2 linked regions of the Nothobranchius furzeri genome follow. The protein of the gene in region 1 interacts with the protein of each later gene in a biochemical or structural test. Links are inferred from orthologs where the notes say so. Each region holds a gene or a part of one and is shown on either strand. Other genes may lie near its edges. The genes, in order: wbp11 and pqbp1.

Region 1 (3,425 bases):
GGTAGGCCTAACATTTCTGCACATGAACCTGCAGGCTTTTGTCGTTTCCCACAGGTGATTTTTACACATCAATGTTTTAGGAAAGGACCTATATCATCCTCTGGGCTGGGGTTAGGAGCAGTGCCAGGTGTCCCACGCTTACCTCCAGGGAAGAAGCCTCCAGGACCCCCACCTGGGCCCCCACCTCCACAGGTCCTGGCGCTGTATGGCATTCCTTCTCGACGATCTTACGGCTCTGACGCAGGTAGCCCGCTGACAGATGCTAGCATGGGTTAGGTTGGTGCGGAGATCAGGGCGACGCTTCCCACTCCCCTCCCTGTCATTTTGACCAGTGATACAAGCAGGTCGGCTGTTTTATACTAGGGTTCGAGCCACGGCTGCCAGAAAGAGGACGTAATGTTTTTTAGATTTTTATTGAGGAAATATTTTGGGAACGGACATTTAAAGAAAGCTGCAGACTTGGTTATCCATGGTAGAATAAACGGCTTCCTCCAGGTCACGAATCGGCTAAGTGACTAGTAAATATCAGAAGAAGAAGAAAATATCATTTCTATAGCGCCTCTCAAGATAAAAATCACGAGGCGCTTCACAAAAACAAAAAATGTAAAAATATAAAAAAGCATGGCATTACAGCAAAAAATTGCTGGAATGCTATGTTGTCAACAACGGTAATTTCTACTTCTACTATGGTGTAGTGTTGGATGCATGCCGTAGAGCATTTTTTAACAGCGTCCTCGTCTTTTCCGACAGTGCGAGCTATTTCTCTCCAAGAATTATTAACAACATGTTGATCACGGTGATCTCTGAGAGCTGAATCATACAAATGTCTGTATTTACGAACCTCTGCCGTACTAGTTCTTGCCGGTCCGCCATGTTTTTCCGTGTCCGACCGTCCGCGTGGTTAGAAAATGTCCTAGGTGCGCGTTGAGGAAATTTTGGGCCGTGCGGAGGCGCGGTGGAGGGGCGTGGTTTTTAAAATGACGCAACTTTTTCGCGCGGAGCCGTGCGGACCTCGCGGACGCGTCAAGCATAAACGAACCTTGCTTGTCTGAGCTAACGTGTGCCGTCAGAAACATTCAAACCATTTTTAAAAGAGAAGTTCAGCTTTCAAGTCAACTAAAGTGCGCGACTCTGCGCTCGTGCTGATGAAGCATAAACCAAGCTTTAGAAATCTGCCTGAACCTGCTGATGTGGGAGGAGTTTCTCTCTCCCTTACTCAACTATGTTCTCTCTCTCTCTCTCTCTCTGTCCCGGGCCCACCCACGGTGCATTATTATCGGCTCTAGCAGCGCTGTGTGTGGGAACATGAAACAGGGAAAATAACCTGAACATGCAGCTCTGGCAGCTGTGGAGCTGGGCTCGGCTCTGGGCGGTACACCCCACCCCCCTCCCCCTCGCTGGCTTTTGCCGCCGCCACGCCATAACACAGGGGGAAACCCCCGGATGTAAAAAAAAGTTACACAACTGATCCTGGATCAGTCGAAACCGCTAAAACCACAGCTTTGACGTTCACGTGATCGTGCTGTTTGAAATCGCGATTTTGGTCCAAAAACGATAGTTCAGCCCTATTCTGCTCAATAAGCCTGTTTATTGTAGAGCTGTTACTAGATATCTCAGATTAAATTGGGATTAAACCCTAATTTTCATGACTTGATGAAAAATCTGAAAGCGAGGAGTATTTTTGTGCTTTTGTTTAATCCGTCATCAGATCTCTCCATTCCTGGCTTGGAGAAGGAATCTGCCCTGGACTTGGGCCGGGATCAGTACAGCGGCAGCGAGAGCGACAGAGATCGGGACGATCTGGATGACAACAGTGACTCTGATGAAGACAGCGAAGAGGACAGGGACGAGGAGGGAGACGGCGAGCAGCGAGGGCGTGCGGAGCGGCGGGCTGATGGCGGGGAACGGGAGGAGGACAGAGACAGAAGTGAAAGACATGCCGGTCAGTGCTGCAGTGTGTTTGAGCTCCTGAGTGTAATCCTAATGGCTTCGGGTCCCTCGTGAACGTGTCGTTCGGGTCTCTGACTTGCTGCAGGACGCAGCGTACGCTTCGCAGATCTGCCAGGAGATGATTCCCATGATGGGAAGAAGAAGAGAGGGGCGAAGAAGACCAAGGCCATTACGCCTCTGCAGGCCATGATGTTGAGGATGGCAGGTACGGTCATGTGATCACGTTCCGCCTCACGTCCTGTTCAGAACTAGGGTGCATGACAAGTCTGTCGTCCTCAGGTCAGTCGGTTCCCGACGAGGAAGAAGAGGAGGAGGAGGGAGAGGAGGAGTTCACAGATGAGTCGGACGCGTCTGACACCGAGGACCGGGCTCCACCGGCAGACGGCCAGTCCCAAGTCGTGGCCAGTCAGCGCCTCCCCCCTCCTGTTGGGGCCGTGGGTCAGCAGGGACCCCCTCCACCTTTACAAGGCCCACCGATGACTGGTCCTCCTCCACTGGGCCCACCACCAGCTCCTCCAATGAGACCTCCCGGTCCCCCGTCCGGCCCACCTCCTGGCCCCCCACCAGGTTAGCTTCATTCAGAAGAGATGACTGTTTTGGTGGCGGGACGCGTTTCTTATTTTCTCTTCTGTTTAGGCGCTCCTCCGTTTTTGAGGCCACCTGGTATGCCCGGAGGAATTAGGGGCCCGATGCCTCGTCTTCTGCCCCCTGGTCCTCCACCAGGTCGACCCCCTGGTCCTCCGCCAGGCCCTCCTCCCGGTCTTCCACCAGGTCCTCCACCCCGCGGACCCCCACCCAGACTACCACCCCCGGCACCACCAGGTAGGTGTATAAAGCTACAAGGAGGTACTGCGTAGTTTAATGGATGTGACTGCACACACCTCAGTGGTCAGCGGTTCCATCAGGACAGGTCTTCTCGTTGCCGGGTTGTCCTCTGTGACTTTTCCAGGTGTTGCATTCAGCTCCGTTTCCAACCAGACGACTCTGTTTCAGGGTAAAGCTCACGAGCCCATGCTTGAAAACTGCTCACCACGCACTCTGTAGCGACACGACAGACCTTCGGACCCGTAAACCCGGGAGCGAGGTGAACGTCGTGCTGCTACCGGCGTCTGTTGTCCCTCAGGCTTGCCGTAGTTAGAGGAGGACGCGCTGGGGTTCATGGGGTTGGAGGTAGAGGAAGGAATGACATTCAGGAAGTAACCCGAGGTTTGGGGATCCAGGCAAAAATGCTTAGAGACACTGTGTGTGTGTGTGTGTGTGTGTGTGTGTGTGTGTGTGTGTGTGTGTGTGTGTGTGTGTGTGTGTGTGTGTGTGTGTAGACACGGAAGTGGCTGGGCAGCCGTGGTGCTGCTCAACAGTGTCCCTCACCAGCAGAATTTCACACGTTTGATTTTCCTGCCACCGCGTGATTGCCAGTCGGGGGCTGGTCGCGAGGCGTTGGTCGCTTTGGTGACCCCGGTATACGACACAAAGCT
Region 2 (4,363 bases), on another chromosome or scaffold:
AAACCTCCAATCTGTGGGGCCCTCACTCTCACTGCCTTTGCACTTCCTCTTAGTCTGTGTCCAACACCCTGAAATGTTACAGACAGGTTTATAAAGGCTTCCAAGAAGTCAAGTCAAACTAGTCTGTTTTAAACTCACAGCAGGGGCATTTCGGAAGCCCTTGATGGCCTGGAACACCCCTCCACCGATGACACCCATGGAGAAAGCTCCTCCACAGTCGTCCACAATCCTCCAGGGGCTGCAGGAGGTTAGGGGAGGACACACAAGACACCGTCAAAATACAAGATATACAGTCAGATCAGGATACAGACGTCAACGGAACTGCGCTGCTCTGGGTGGCTGCATGTTGGAGTAGCTCTGTTGACTATATGTAAGTTTTGCCTTTTCTTGGGCATTTTTTCTTCTAGTTTCTCAAGAGAAACGGTATTTTTTTGGACACTACTTTTCTGTTTCTGGTGCTGTGAAGCTTGGAGGATTTTTACTGCTATTTTTTAGCTTTTTACACTTTTTGAGCATTTGTTATGATGCGTAACCATGGCAACAAGCTGGTTTACAATCGGGAGCAGCTGATTAACATTGGAAAGGCTGAAATAATACCTCAACTGAAGCCACAAATCCCAAATGAGCTAAAACGCAAGAAGCGTGGGTGCAGAGCGGGAGCAAAACGGAGACAGAGAAAGAGGAAATTCAAACCGTCTCTTCCATCGATCATAACGGGCAATGTGAGATCACTGGCCAACAAGATGGAGGAACTCCAAGCCCTTTCAAGGACTCAGCCAGAGTTTCGGCAGTTTCGGAACCGCTGGAGGAGAAAATGCAAAGGAGGATTCTCCAGAGAATCAAGAAAATTATGGACAACCCTGAGCGTTCTCTTCACAAGACTGTCCGACAACGGAAGAGTGTCTTCAGTCAGAGGCTTCTTCAGTTTGGCTGCAACACTGACCGCTACTGGAGATCCTTCCTGCCAACAGCCATTGTAATATACAACAACTCTTTGATGACTTGTTTATTATTATTATTCTGAGCTACTACAGCAATCAATTTCCTCTGGGATTAATAAAGTATTTTTGAATTGCATTGAACGTAAGCACGTATATATACGTGGATTGACAGCAGAACTCACAACGCGTCTCTGTTCTCTCACATGTTTATGTTTCACTAGAAAAACCAACACTGGTATGTATGTTAGCCGTATTTAGTTTACAGTTAAAGACAAACTAATCTTACCAAGGTTCGCGGACATATTCCTCCATGTTTGTTTTCGTCTAGACGTTGTGACGTCATACACGTGCGACCGGCGCTACTAGTGCGTTGGCGGTGCTAACATCATTTTCTCTGCTATTGGGTGAATTTCTTTATCTCAGGTAAACTTGTTCCTGTTCGGATCCCGTTTTGAAGCGTAAACGTTCAGATTTTCGTTCCTTCCGGGCATGGAAGTACTTACGCAGTCTGCTTGTTGATTTAATCATCCAGCGGTTGCTAACAGGGTTAGCCTTCGGGTAAACGTTTGTTGTTCGTGCAAATAAATGCAGATTTTACGAATGTCAGACTGTTTCTACATCTGTAGTTAAAGTCTTTAAAAATAACACAACTCAAATGTTGAACATAACTTCAACTGAAAACGTAAGAACAGCATTTATTCAAATTGTATTGAAAGCCCGACGCCTTTTACTGCGTGTGCTGTTGGGAGCTTTATGTTCTCCATATTTCATTACAATGTTTTATCTGAAAGGTTTCTGTTCAGATGTTTATTTGTTATAAATTAACTCGTTTTTGTACGTAATTTGGCAGTAAAGAGACGTTTTGTTTATTGGGATAAACCCCGTTGTGTATAATTGAGGCTGTATACTTTAAATATCAGAACACATGAGAAACAAGTAAATTTTCTGTATCTTTGCTGTGGATTTATGAAACCACTGACCTCATGTACAGATGTTCGAGGTGACTGTTGTGACAGCATCTCGTGTTTTTCAGGATGCCTCTTCCTCCAGCTCTGCTGGCCCGCTTGGCCAAGAGGGGGATCGTTAAACCAACAGAACGAGGTTCTCATTTGGCTTGAACACGCTGGCTCCATGCATCCTTCTCTGTGACTTTACACGTATGTCGTGTAACAGTATTTTCTCCTTTAATAACAGGTGCAGATGAGGAGATTATTGCCGAAGATTATGATGACAATAATGTAGATTATGAAGCCACCAGAGCAGAGAATCTTCCTCCAAACTGGTACAAAGTGTTTGATCCAGCTTGGTACGTACACTGTACTGGTTATCTACGGTTCTTTGGTAGTTTTACCTCCAGTGCGCTTGTGTTTGGGTGTTTGCAGTCCAGATGAAGCTTTCCAGTGAATTCACAAAGCGATGTCATTGGGTCTCTTTTACATGTTTAGTATGTAAGCTGATTAGCCTTCTCTTCCTGATTTCCTGCCACCCTCAGTGGTCTTCCTTACTACTGGAATGTTGAGACGGATCTAGTCGCCTGGCTGTCCCCAAATGACCCCTCGTCTGTGATAACAAAAGCTGCCAAGAAAATGAAAGGTGGGTTTAAAAACTAAACTCGCCAGTTTTGCATAAGTGTCTTTAAAAAAGAAACGAGGAATGTTTTTCACAGAAATTGCATTATTATTTGTTTTTAGCTGATTTGGGAGATGAAAGAGGAGAGCGACCGTTTGAGAAGCCAGACAGAGAGAGAGAACGGGAAAGGGACAGAGACAGGGATAGGGACCGGGAAAGAGAAAGAGATCGGGACAGAGACAGGGACAGAGATGATGGGCGGGACAGAGACAGAAGAAAGCAAAGGAGGGACGACATGGCACCATACAACAAGAACAAAAGAGGTGATGCTTACAGAAGTCTTTCGTTTTCACGTTAAAGCTTTATCTGTGATACAATAACAGTTAAAATCTGATCGTGTTTGCAGGAAGAAAGGATGACGAGATGGACCCCATGGACCCCAGCGCTTATTCTGATGCTCCCAGGTAAAGTAAAACAAGCAGCAGGCAGGAAATTACCCCTGTCGTCATTCCACTCAGTTACATGTCAGCTTCAGCTTTGTAAGTTAAAGAACAAAGCAGACATTTAAGTCTTTAATTGAATGCACAGCACTGCAGCAGCGGTGTAACATGATGCATGCTGGGTAGAAACTTTGGACGACTGCTGCTGGCACTGCAAAGCAGGCGCCAAGTCACGTGGCTCTGAAACCTCATGGGAGCGAGGTGGCTGCAGTTTTCTGAGTCACACGCTGCAGTCCCTCTCCTCCGGTTTCACCCTCTGGGCTGGACCCGCCGGAACTGAACTCTGGTGCATGATCATGTTTTTATTTACGTCTTTAAAGCTACTTGAATCAAACATGTGATTTATACAGTTTTAGCCTCGGGGTCTTCTAAAGTAGTCGTTCTACTTTCATTAGTATCATTTTTCTTTCGGCCAAGCTTTCTGCAGTCTAGGCTTTAAATTCAGCTAAATCCCGTGTTTTGGAAAAGCTGCACCTGTCACCTTGACCCATTATTACAACTTTCTTTACATATTATTTATTCAAAACTCAACGCCTGGCTTTATAGTGATGGCGTCTTTAGCCGCATCTATGGAAATGCCACTAATGCACACTTGCAGGAATAAAATTTGTAGTTTTCAACAAGTGGATTCCTGGAAGGCTTCTGGCTGAAACGGGTACTAAAGGGATCGGGTTCTGTGGTTTGTCCTGTCGACTGAAGTCAGAACTTTAGGTTTTTTTTGCAGAACAGCCCAACACATTTGTGTTGTGTGTAAAAACGCTCATTTGTGAGTCACTCTGGACAAACGCGTCTGCTGAATACACGAAACGGTCAAGTTAACCAGCTGAAACGGCTCTAGCGCTAGCTAAACAACCAGGCGTTAGCAAACAAGCTGGCCCACTCTAAAGGTCTGCTGAACTGTTTTCCACAGGGGCTCTTGGTCGAGTGGTCTTCCCAAACGCAACGAGGCCAAAACCGGTGCAGACACCACAGCCGCCGGCCCGCTGTTCCAGCAGCGGCCGTACCCGAGTCCAGGCGCGGTGCTGCGGGCCAACGCTGCCAACCAACCGCCCAAGGAATGAGAAGCGCTCCCACGGAGACGCTCTGCGTCCTGCGCACACCTCTTGTTGTTAGACGTGATGTCGCATGCTGACATTTTAGAGATCAAACTTGTTGTAAATATGTTTTATAATAAAATGGATTTCATGTTGTTACTAGAACCACCAGTTAACATAATCAGTTCTTACTCTGGTGAGAAAAGCATCTGCTGGGGCTCGTCGTAACTGTAAGAACGCCTGCACAAACACTTTTCCAAGGTTTTATTAAAAATTCCAAAGTGTTAAAATACTGTCCATCATTAGAAAAGCAACACTT

Evidence for each region.
Region 2: the proteins of wbp11 (region 1) and pqbp1 form a complex in vitro, tested with the Homo sapiens proteins (2 studies listed by BioGRID and IntAct, with this or other methods). The link is inferred for Nothobranchius furzeri from reciprocal best matches to the Homo sapiens genes WBP11 and PQBP1.

Annotation. Positions count from the first base shown.
Region 1 is NC_091752.1:67,492,825-67,496,249, reverse strand, and holds part of wbp11 (WW domain-binding protein 11), read left to right. Parts: coding exon 1-1; intron 2-80; coding exon 81-244; intron 245-1,708; coding exon 1,709-1,942; intron 1,943-2,035; coding exon 2,036-2,155; intron 2,156-2,229; coding exon 2,230-2,517; intron 2,518-2,586; coding exon 2,587-2,772; intron 2,773-3,425. UniProt on the Homo sapiens protein: Activates pre-mRNA splicing. May inhibit PP1 phosphatase activity.
Region 2 is NC_091755.1:41,961,560-41,965,922, forward strand, and holds pqbp1 (polyglutamine-binding protein 1), read left to right. Parts: upstream 1-1,253; 5' UTR 1,254-1,364; intron 1,365-1,921; coding exon of another isoform or gene 1,922-1,926; exon of another isoform or gene 1,927-1,974; 5' UTR 1,975-1,975; coding exon 1,976-2,042; exon of another isoform or gene 2,043-2,045; intron 2,046-2,135; coding exon 2,136-2,247; intron 2,248-2,433; coding exon 2,434-2,534; intron 2,535-2,632; coding exon 2,633-2,833; intron 2,834-2,916; coding exon 2,917-2,974; intron 2,975-3,920; coding exon 3,921-4,071; 3' UTR 4,072-4,209; downstream 4,210-4,363. Other genes in the region: timm17b (mitochondrial import inner membrane translocase subunit Tim17-B), read right to left, coding at 5-68, 139-238, 1,228-1,253. UniProt on the Homo sapiens protein: Intrinsically disordered protein that acts as a scaffold, and which is involved in different processes, such as pre-mRNA splicing, transcription regulation, innate immunity and neuron development.